2 linked regions of the Caenorhabditis elegans genome follow. The protein of the gene in region 2 purifies or fractionates together with the protein of the main gene of each other region. This does not show direct contact. Each region holds a gene or a part of one and is shown on either strand. Other genes may lie near its edges. The genes, in order: atgp-2 and aat-1.

Evidence for each region.
Region 1: the proteins of aat-1 (region 2) and atgp-2 purify together in Caenorhabditis elegans (co-purification; one study listed by BioGRID). This does not show direct contact.

Annotation. Positions count from the first base shown.
Region 1 is NC_003280.10:14,639,469-14,646,002, forward strand, and holds atgp-2 (Glycosyl hydrolase family 13 catalytic domain-containing protein), read right to left. Parts: upstream 4,616-6,534; 5' UTR 4,607-4,615; coding exon 4,557-4,606; intron 4,274-4,556; coding exon 4,034-4,273; intron 3,627-4,033; coding exon 3,265-3,626; intron 3,219-3,264; coding exon 3,033-3,218; intron 2,986-3,032; coding exon 2,742-2,985; intron 2,698-2,741; coding exon 2,585-2,697; intron 2,537-2,584; coding exon 2,430-2,536; intron 2,148-2,429; exon of another isoform or gene 1,846-2,147; intron 1,741-1,845; coding exon 1,306-1,740; intron 1,251-1,305; coding exon 1,161-1,250; intron 1,024-1,160; coding exon 907-1,023; 3' UTR 630-906; downstream 1-629.
Region 2 is NC_003282.8:9,598,410-9,603,296, forward strand, and holds aat-1 (Large neutral amino acids transporter small subunit 1), read right to left. Parts: upstream 3,287-4,887; 5' UTR 3,286-3,286; coding exon 3,108-3,285; intron 2,937-3,107; coding exon 2,631-2,936; intron 2,545-2,630; coding exon 2,419-2,544; intron 2,372-2,418; coding exon 2,218-2,371; intron 2,101-2,217; exon of another isoform or gene 2,080-2,100; intron 1,984-2,079; coding exon 1,593-1,983; intron 1,465-1,592; coding exon 1,293-1,464; intron 1,245-1,292; coding exon 1,152-1,244; intron 1,087-1,151; coding exon 1,025-1,086; 3' UTR 769-1,024; downstream 1-768. Other genes in the region: F27C8.2 (N-acetyltransferase domain-containing protein), read left to right, coding at 28-270.

The sequences.
Region 1 (6,534 bases), on a different chromosome or scaffold from region 2:
AAAAGTCAGAGAAAAAAAATGTGTGTTTGAAATGTTAATGAGAGAAAATTAGCCAACAATGCGTAAAGATTTGGAAGTTACCTGATTTTCATCAGTTCTCAAATCATAAACTACGCAATATGCAAAATTCTTTTAACACTATACCCAAAAATGCCGGCCTGCATTCAAGACAACCTGGTTGGAAGGGATGAGGCAGTTTTGTGCAATAATAACAATAAAAAAAATAATTATTATAAAAATTGAAGAATCATAGAGAACTATGTTATATTTAATACGCATTTTAATGACTTTTTATACCCTATTTTCATAGCTGTTAACCCGGCTGCCAATCAATTAAAATGCTAAAACTCATACATCAAAAAGTTACTAAGACATCTGTTTTAACCAGCTTTAATCACTTTTTTCTGTGTCTAATTTTATGATTGATTTGCATAATATTACTAATGGCATATGCAAAGCACAAACTTCATTGGAGAGCGTAGAAAAAAGTAAGGTCGAAAAATAACCTATTGTTGATTAAAAGTCGTATGTCGAACGAAAAAGGCAGACAGGCAGGCACGGCGTGCATTCTTGCCATAAAAGCCCTAAGCTCAATTTTTTGTTGCATTGCAGCACGTGGCTTTCAACAATAATTGTATATTTTATTATAAAAATTTAATTTTTAAAATTAACAATTCACGCGGGGCGGATATGTCACACCATATAAATAAGTAGCGGGGATTTGAGAAATTCGAAGAAAAGAAAGAGGAAAAAACGAAGGTATGCACCATTGTTGACAGGGAAAACGAAAGCAATCGGGGGCCGAGGTAACATAGAAAAATTGAAAATTACAAAAAAATTGGTTCTAAGAGTTTTGTTCTGACACATATTATTGGAAAACCTTGCATAACAAGATGAATTAGATAATCATGCTGAATAGCGGAACACGACGCCTTCATTTGGTTCCAATTCGATTTCCTTTAAGCCAAAGTCTACTGTCTGACGTGCGTAGTAGGCGACACAGTTGGATGTGGCGGTGACTATCTGCAATTCGGAAATTGAATGTGCATCGATATTGCATGTGTGTTACTAATTCATAATAGGGGAGTTGCTTTTTCTATGAATAACAAAAAGAAGGTAACAAGTGTTGGCAGTTTTTTTTATAAATTTCGAAAACTCACTGTAGATTTATGCAATTTTGAGTTGCTTGGCAAGTCTGTCAGTGGAAGTTTTACTGGATGCTCGGCAAAGTTGAGAGCGGCTACGTAGATCTGAACTTTTCATAATTTTTGAAAAATTTCCCTATGATATAAGAAAAAAACTCACATTTCCAGTAGTTCTATTTTCAAAATTATTGAATCTCGTAATCGTGAATGCTCCATCAACTAGTCGCCCAATCAGCGTGGTTCCAGTCATCAGTGCATCTTCTCTCTGTCTCAATTTCGCCAGTTTCGCGAAAATCTTCAATGTTGACTGAGGCTCAGCGTATTGCCGTTTCCAGTTAATATTCGCCACGTCGATATTTGACGGAACCGGCGGACTGATGGCTGATGTGAATCCTCCGTTCAACGAGTCATCCCATTGCATCGCACCCTTCTGTGGTGGGACTCTGGAGTCATTCGCCAGATTTCGCATGCCGATTTCCTCACCGTAGTAGATATTGTTAGTTCCAGGTAGAATCATTTGGAGAACCATCAGGAGTTGTGCATGTGGACGGGATCCGACACGGGACGCAATTCGAGCCAGGTCCGGGGAGCCGAACTGAAAATGTTAGAAAGTTTTTTTTCAAAATAATTAAAACGATTTGACTCCCGGAAATTTTTCTTTGGTAATGTTTCATGCTTACTTCCTCAAATAATACACGGCAAAAAAAATTTTGACAACTCCTAACAAGCGGAGCTCACATCGGCGGTGCTCAGATAATTTTGAATTTGTCTAACCTAGGGGGAGTGAGGCCTGTAACGTGACAGAACCCACCAGGACTGGATGAATCTATCCACCGGATAGCCAGTCAGTGGGAAACCTCTGATCGAGGGAGCTCTAGGACCGTGGCATCATCACGAGCCGAACGGGAGCTCCCGGTCCTCGTCATGGTTTGATTCAATCTAAAGTTCGTCAACTATTTTATAGCGAGATCAATCTAGACCGAAATACGTACGAGCACCGCCGAGTACGTTCAAAACCGACGGTCGTTATAAAGGGGAGGGTAGACGTGCGGCCGACACCTTGCGGGTTTCGCCTGCCACTAGGTTTTGTGTATGTGTCTCCGCCTTCTCAAGGTGGTAACGGGCCTATTTTATAGATTTTTCTTGTGTTGTCCCATATGAATTGTTGGGGAAATTATTTCAATTTACAATAAAATGACTAAAATTCGAATTTCTAAATTTAAGTTAGTCTAAATCGCCGCCACGATTTCACAATCTTTTCTCCAAAAGCCCCACAAAACTTACTCTCCAATGAGGCCAAACTTGCTCGTTCAACGAATGGAACAGCAGGACGTCGGACAGAATCTCGTGAACACAAGTGGCAACTGATCCCTCGTTCTTGTGACAAATCTCTGCAATGAACTTGTACCTATTAGTTTTCAGGTACGATAAGAACTCACTAGTGTCCTTCTCAACTTCTCCCAACTCGTAGTTGATGACTGTGTCCATCCCACTCTTTGCCATACGCTTCTTGTCCTTCTCCTTCGCTTCTTCTCTGGTAGAGAATAAGGCGCTGAAATTTCAACTTTAAAAAATTAAGTTTTCTTTCTGACAAACATTTTCTTTCCATCGGCAATTGTACTCTCGTTCGAGTAGGAATCCACATGGAATCTAATATCCCTTATGACGTCATAAATTGAGTTCCAGTCAGGTTCTGTACCATTTGGCGTTCTTGCAAGGTACTCGATTCCTTGAAGCTCAAATCCATCGACTCCGCGGTCAATCCAGTTGGAAAGAGCATTAAACATGTGCTCACGGAGATTACTGTTCTGCCAGTTTAGTACAGCGGATTTTGGATTTCCTGAAACTAGTAGTAGAACTGTTTTTCTTAATGATGAAATTCAATACCTTTCTCATGAAGATAGAAGAGATTCTTGTGCTCTGTGAAAAAGTTGGAGTCTGCCGCCTTGCTGACCCAAGTATAGAACTGCGAATAGTTGGCATTTGGTGTCTTGCTTGCCGTCGCTGAGTTCAAGAACCATTCGTGTTCTAGTGAGGTGGTGGCAATAGGGAAACTTATTACAATATTCATTTCTGCAAAATTTTCTGGCCTATGAAGTTATGTAAAGTTTACGATTACCTTTCTCATGAATCTTGTTGATAAGCTCATCAGCCTTCTGATTCACACCAATTTTTGGGTCCATTTGACTGAAACTTCTTACAGCCGTCTTCTCATCATCCGATATTAAGAACGGAGAAGGCCACACTGTTTGAACTCCGGACTTTCTCAATTGATCGAGTCGATTAATAAGTCCATCGACGTCTCCTACACCATCACCATCTGAATCCTGGAAGGACGGTACCCAGACGTGATAGGCTACGGCTGTCTGCCACCAGTTGGGCTTTGCGCGTAGGACGCAGGTTGGGGAGAAGCAGACCAGGAGAATTGCAACCGCGAAAAGAGCAAGCCAAATGAGCCAGAAGAGCACAAAAAGGACGGTTCTGAAAATATTGGATTCTTGATTTCAAACACTAAAATCTCGCAACAACTTTTGAAAACTTTGAAGGTTGTTTAGCTACTGTACTCCATACAACGTACTTTTAATTTTTTTTTTCACCACGTGTCTTCCATCCTTAAACGAAAATATTGGCGCAGAGCCAAGTAAATAACGAAGTAAATAACGAAGATCAATTGTTTGAGTTACTGATTAAGCACCCACTCAGTCGGCATGGCTTTTATTTTTTAGTTTAGGTATGTGTTTAGTGTAGGACCATTCAAAATAAATGCGCACAATTATTTTCATTTCTAGTATTACAGGCGGCAGGCACAAAATGTATTCCCTTTCCTGCTTAATGCCTACTGCCAAAGTAACACTGGCAGAAAATTCAAGTTATAAAAAATCAATTACCTAATAAACTTCCAGCAAGGATCATTTCTAAACTGCTCCAACTCTTGTTCGCTCAACCCGATTTGATCAGTATTTTTAGGATTAGTGGGAGCCGGTGGTCGTTCCCAAGACTTTTGTGGAGGTGCTTCTTCTTGTTCTTGTCGTTTTTCCTTCCGCATAATGTGTTCGGGCACTACGGGGTTTCCAGAGACCGCACTAATGTAGCTTTCAGTTTTGTTGCCACGGTCTACTTCGTAAAACCTGGAAATTTATTATCGAATTTTTACTTAAATTTTATGATTAGTTTTTTAACTGAAAAATGCACTAGAAGTAAGAATAGAAGATTTGCGCATTCCTTAACTTGCTAGCAAAATAATAAGAAAATGAAGAAAAATGAATGGGTATTTCGGCAGACTGCACAGCAGACTGAATAGAAAAATTGAACCTAAAGAACAAAGATGATTTGCAGTTTTCTTATCATTTTAATTTTCTAGAAAGGACATTCCAAACGACCCAGATCATCCCATTTATCGCTTGTACTAACCTTGGTGTCTTGCCCTCGGGACCCGGCATTAGCCGGTCGGTGGCGTCCATTTTGACTGTCTGCAAAAAATGATAACGTTCAGTGAACTTGGGAACAAAGAACAATGATTAAAACAAGAAGGTTTTGACGGAATTTCAGGAAATTGAAAAATGTAAGTCACAGGAAAAAAATAATTCTAGAAACTTTACTGCAAAAAGCCAAAGGTATAGGTGCGGCATAATTTTGGCCGCGGAGTTTTTTTTTCAAAAATGAGTTAAAATGGTATAAGCATAGATGCAAAAGTTTTGGGTACAATAAAAAAATTAATAATACGTTATTAAACTTTTTGTGTTTTCCTAAAGATATTCTTACTAAAAATTATGAAGGACACAAAATTTTAGCTAACCAAAAAGCAGAGCCATACAATTTTTCACGAAAACCTGAACTAAAAGATTTAGCAAAAAATCCAGGAAACACGTAAACGTACAACAAGGGAAAAAAATAAGAAAAAGTCGTTTAAAAGTCAAGAGAAATACGAGAAAGGAGAAAAAGAAGAAGAAGCTCACTTTCGGCTTTTTTTCTCTATTCTATAGAGGTCCCAATAGAATTCAGAGGGAGAAGGAAGATGGGCTAATGAATATAGGATTAGGATGCAGAATAGACAATTCCCACCAGATGAGAGCATACCAATTTTATTCACTGTGTATATTATAAACAAATTTATTGAGTAATATGGATTTTGTGTGGCATATTGAAGTTTTGAAAATTGAAATGTTTGTTTTTGAAATTAAGATTTTTTTTTGATAAATTTTGGTAATTAATTGGAAACTGTTTCCATTTTTTTATGAGAAAAAATTTAAAAAAATAATATAGAATGTTGAGAAAAATTTGGTCAAAAATTCCCAAAAAATGCTCAAAATTATCTAAACCCTACTTATTACCTATTTACAAATTGAGTCTCAAAAGATCTACAAAAAATCTTAGGATAATTATCATCAGAAGAATCTTGCAAATTACAGTACAGAAGCAAAAAGCTTCAATTAAAACTAAAAATCTTCAGAATTGAACACACGAAGTTTTTTTTAAAATCTTATCAACAAAAGTTTCAATTTATAAAAAATATAGTAACTAAAAAGTCATTAAAATGGAAAAAGTGTAAGGTTACAAAACTGAAGTTTTTTCAAAATCAAAAGCGTGAAACTGTGGTCGTATCAAAATCCCCTTGAACATCACCTAGGTTTTCAAGTGGTATAGGTATACAAAAAAGAGTTAAGTAACCCGATATTTCACTCTCGCCGCGCCGCGCGGTATCGGTGACTTGTCAAAGGAGGACGAACGACACGAGAAAAAGTGTAACTAAGCATTCAAAGAGCCACTCATCAACACATGTCCACCTTAATCTCAACAGCAGGTCAATTTTTGAGGAAGATTGATCGAGAAGTTGCAAAAAAAATGAAGAAAACAAGCGTGAAAAATTTGCCGATTTTTCAAAGGAGAAGGCGAATCCTCACTATTTGTTGACTAACCGCTAGGGAGCAAAGGAATAGCTTAGACGCAGGGAAAAAAGAGAACGAATTTGAAAGGAGACGTTGTTGCGAAAACGGGTAGGGAGAGGGAGTTGGTGAAGAGACGCAGAGGCTTTGAGCGACGATGAAAGAGATGAAAACAAAACAATAACTACTGGGAAAGACATGAATTGGAAGAAGAAGTGTGTTTGGTTGAAGGTTAACTGAGAAGTAAAGTTAGCTAGGGAAAAGGTTTTCATATTCCAATTCTCTTCAAAACTTCAAAACAAGTTTCAATTTTACTTACAAACTTCAAGACTGAAATTTTCATGTTCATGAAATTTCGATCTGAATTTTTCAGTTTATTTTTTCAGTACTTTTGAAGATTGTAGAACTGCTATTAAAACTCTGATTTGGCAGATTTTTGGTGTTTTTAAAGTGTAAAAAATTATTGGTTTTCTTTTCTTTTTTTTTTTAACTTTTTCTAAAAACTT
Region 2 (4,887 bases):
TTACTTACTGACAATAATTTTTTCCAGAATCCCGAAGACGACTATGACTTTGATGTGGACCATCTTGCAATTTATCGTCGTTCTGTTAACTTTTTTATCTTTTCAAATTGTGAATCATTAATGTTTCCGTTACTGAAAAAATTAACTGGAAATGATGGAAGCATGGTCAAAGATCGAATTTATTTTCAAACTTGTTCCAATTTTCAGTTACCGGCAATTAATCATGATATGATTTTTGCAGCTTCTGATCCAACTGTTTTTCTATGTTAAATGGTGTAATTCCATTGTTGACACCACTAAACATTCAAAAAAAAATTCTGTTTCACCTTTCCCATAAGTACCAACAATGTATTGTTACGATAGTATGTGAAGTTTTGGTGTTACACAATATTCAAATGTTTTCTGATTCATTATTTGTTAGTATAGCCAAGTATTAAACTCTCCCATTCGAATTTTAAAATATTTCTGATCAATTTCTTCAAAAAACGAAAATTCGGAAAAATATATATATACTGTTTCAACTTTTCAATAAGTGCCAACAGTTTTAGATTTTTTTAGTGTGTCAGTTTTATTGTGGAATTTTTATTTGCATATAATTATATCAATGTATTGAACATTTCTGCAGATACAAAGCTGTGAAGTTACAAAGCTATCCACCATAAAATGCATTACTTGTTTAAATTATTTTTCTCTTTTCAGAAAACAGCTAACTTTGATACTATTTTCTTGAAAGGAACTCAATTGCTGTTTGAATAAACATTTCAGAATAATCACTGAAATAAATTTATTTCACGATATTTCACGAAAAATTAAAAGAAAAAAGAGAATTAAAGCCTCGTCGAAACTGTGAATGTATTTTTTGTGTTTGATTGAATTTAATGATAAAATGATGATGTTCGGATGACAAAGTGAAACAAAAACGCAGATAAAAAGAATACTGGTGGATTGTGGAAGTTTTGAAAAATTGAATTTTGACAAATGAAATAAAAAGAAACCCGAGACCGAAAGTTGAACTTTAGAAATTCTAATCCTCCTTATCCTCGTCGACAACCATGAATAGCTTTTGAATGAAAACAGTTGAGCTGTCTGAAATACGGTACAATTGACAAGTTGAAAATGAAGAAAAAAAACATTTGTTGAAAATTACTTACCAATGAATTCATTGAACCATTTTGGCTTGTTTTTCCATCCGATGAAAATTCCGTAGACGGGGACAGCGGAAAGCATGATAAGTAGACCAATTCCTGTAATAAATTCAAATTTTTATTCTCTTTCTGAAATTGGAAACTAACCCGTATCTCTTGGAGCAGCTACCATTGGAATAAGAACAAGAGCGATACATCCAGCAAGGAAAATAGCTGGCCAAATGAGTGGAACTTTAATTGGTCTTGATGCATCTGGCATGGTTCTACGAAGCCAGAAGAGTGCGGCAATGGCTGTTCCGATTGCAAGCCAGTAACTGATCTAGAAAATGAAAGTTTCTTGTTCGAGAACATGCATATTTTTTGAAGCTTGAATTCAAGCTTCTAAAATTGATGCTTCAAGAAACTCAGTACCGGGAAATATTAAAAAAAAAAAGCTATCACACTTACTTGAATATAATTAATCAATTGATACACATCCTTTGATGCCAACAAGTAAGCAATAGAAAGAGCTCCGGTAAGAATAACAGCGGGAATCGGTGTTTTCGTTTTTTTATTAATCATTGTCAATACAGCTGGCATTTGTCCTTCACGAGCACCGGAATAAAAAAGTCTCGCTGAAGTGAAAATAACTCCATTAGCTGATCCAATTGTGGAACATGCAACACAGAGTGGCATAATAAATGCGAATTTTCCATAGAGTTTATTGGCGAAAAGTACCGCTACAGCCGGGGATTCGAGCATTTCATCTGGTGAAATTGCTGTGTAGAGAGCCACATTAGTTAGCACGTAGATTACGGTACAGGATGTGATAGAGATGGCAATTGCGAGTGGAAGGTTTCTGAAAATTATGGTATAAGAAAATAAATAATATATCGTTAAATTTTTTTTACTGTTTCATAATGCAATTAGAACCTAAAATAATTTGCTAGATTAATTGACAAGTATTCTACAACAGATTAAAGTAGACCAATAAACTACTCATAGTCAGCTCTGAAACTTTAAATAAAAACAATTGGAATGTAAAAACTGTGTTAATGTGTTTCATGTAAACTATACAATCACTGAAACTTACCGTTTTGGGTTCTGCAACTCCTCGACGATGAAATTCAAGAAATTCCATCCAGAATAAGCGAATAATCCAGAGTAGAAAGCAAGTGAAACTTTTGTAAAATCTTGAGATGTATTCTCAAAAATATTCTCGAATGAGTCCTTGTACTGAGATTCACCTGAAATTTTTTATATTTTCTAAATACAGAATAGCTTAAGTGCTCACCAAAGAAAAGGAGACCAAGTCCGGTTAAAATGATAAGACACAGAGCAACAACCTTTGCAATAGTAAACCAATCCTGAACAATTGTTGCCAACCGAACAGAAATACAGTTGATTGCAGTCATCAGAACTGAAACGTAACGGTTATTAAATATACATATAGTTATGTAGATACATTTTGTAAAAAAATTTCAGTTAAAAAAAAGAATCACATACCAATTAACAAAATCGCGAGAAGCTCAGCGACTACATCTGGTGGGGCACAATCAGGGAAAAATGGTCGCAGTCCGTAAATGGCGAAAGTGAGTGCAACAATAGTCACAGTACATGGTCGGACTACGATAGCCTCAATCCAAAGACGAATAAATGCAACAAATGGTCCAAATGCTTCCATAATATATGCATAATCTCCTCCTGATTTCTTGATAAGAGTTCCCAGTTCTGCATAACAATATGCGCCAATTGCTGTGAAAATACCGGAGATGAGCCAAACAATAAGAGAGAGTCCAACTGATCCGGCTTCTGAAAGTAAATGAAATTTTGGAAAGTACGTAGTTTATTTCAAATACATCAAATACATCAACTACATTTTTCGTTTTTTCGAGTATTTTTCCCAAACAGCTTTCAAAAAAATTTTTTTTTAATAGGCGACTTTTGAATAAACAACTTTCACTTGAAAAATTATCAACTCACGTTCTTGCACTCCAGTTGGTGATACAAAAATGCCAGATCCAATAATGCATCCAACAATCATTGAAACTCCATTGAATAGTGTCAAACTCTTTTCAAGACCTTTTCCTTTTCCTTCTGTTTCATTTTGTGGTGCCTCATCTCCTTCTCTCGATTTTAACGGCTCCTTTTCAGCTGTCATCCTGAAAAATAAGTAATATTTTCACGTAAGACGGAGCCAGTAGAAAAAAAGTGTTGAAAAAACGGGTACAATTTTATATGAAGGGTATATTTCTTAATCTTTCCTGAAACATTTTTGGCATGCCAAAATAATATCGAAGAGAACAATAAAACCAAAAAGTTAGATAACATTTAAAAAAAATTCAATTTTTTTACAAATGGGTAACTATGAGCTAATTTTTCAACGCGGAATGAACTAGTCAGTAAACTTTCGAGAAACGTGAGCTCTGTCTAAATGTGCCAAATCTGAAAAATGATGACAATTTAGAAGAAGTGCTGACAAAATATCGCCTGAAAAAGAGAGGCGGATTTGTGACCAACTAGATTTTTTTATTTAAAAAAAAGAATGACTGAAGGATATAAGGACACAGAAAAGCACAAAAAAAGAAGTGACCGCGCAATGTTTTGCTATTACATCAGCCAAAAAGGAGCTAGCAGTGAAAAGCAGAAAACTCTTTTTCGGGGGAAATCATATTGGAAATCGAAAGAAAAAGAATATGAATTTTTCATGTCGGTCAGCAGAAAGTGGAGAGAACACGTAATCGAAATGATAAGAAATACTAGAATAACATAGCGGAAAATTGGATGAAAATATTATGAATAGAGTGAGGCAGTGGGAGAGATGAAGAGACAAAGACATTTGAGGGAAAGGGTCAGTTCTATTTGTTTATGTACTGATAAGTAATCGAAAAAAATGTATAGATGTTTTATTTCGACAAATGGAAAAGCTCAACAGGATTTTCGCAGATTGACAATTCACCTAACCTCTATTTTTTAGCCCAGAAAATCAAACTAAAGTTCGGAAAATAAGAAAAAAAACCAACGCATTTACAAACGAAACAACGCGTCAAATACACCGAAAAACTCTGTAAACAACGAAGAGTACAAAACTTTTCAAAAAATCTGTGAAAAAATGTGGAGAAACAGAACAAAGTGAGAATAAATGGAAAGTGAAGAGTCGGAAGAGGCAAAGAGAAGGGTCGTGTGAATGCAATGCTCACCATGAACCAAAAGGGAAAAATAAAACGAGATGAAACCAAAGAAGTGAGGGAAATCGGCATAACGTGGAAGTTACAAAAATGAGCTATGGGACCAATGATACATTAAGAAATATTTATGTGACTTTCAATATTGTCAAAGCTAACTTAATAATTTTTTTTGAAATCTCTTAAAATCAACATGGAAATTAGAACCAAAAAGATACAAATATTTGAACAAATTAAATTTGGAGCGTTTTAATTAATTATTGTTTAATAGAGTCTGTAGCTGGAAATTGAGTACTACAATAGAAATAGTAGATTACAAATGAAGCAACTTGTAAGTTTTTCAATTATGAAAAAACAATCAAAGCTTCTTATTTTGTGTTGCGCTCCTCAATCAAAAATAAGTCTTGAATATACAAATAATAAGAAAATTCCCATAATTAAGTGTATTCTATTAGTTAAAACAACATCGGTGTCGTTTTTAAACTTTTTTTTATGAAAAAAAGTAGTTCCGCATGGATGCAAAGTTGGAAGCAAAACAAAAAAGCGTGAAAATAAAATAAACATAAATAAACAAAACT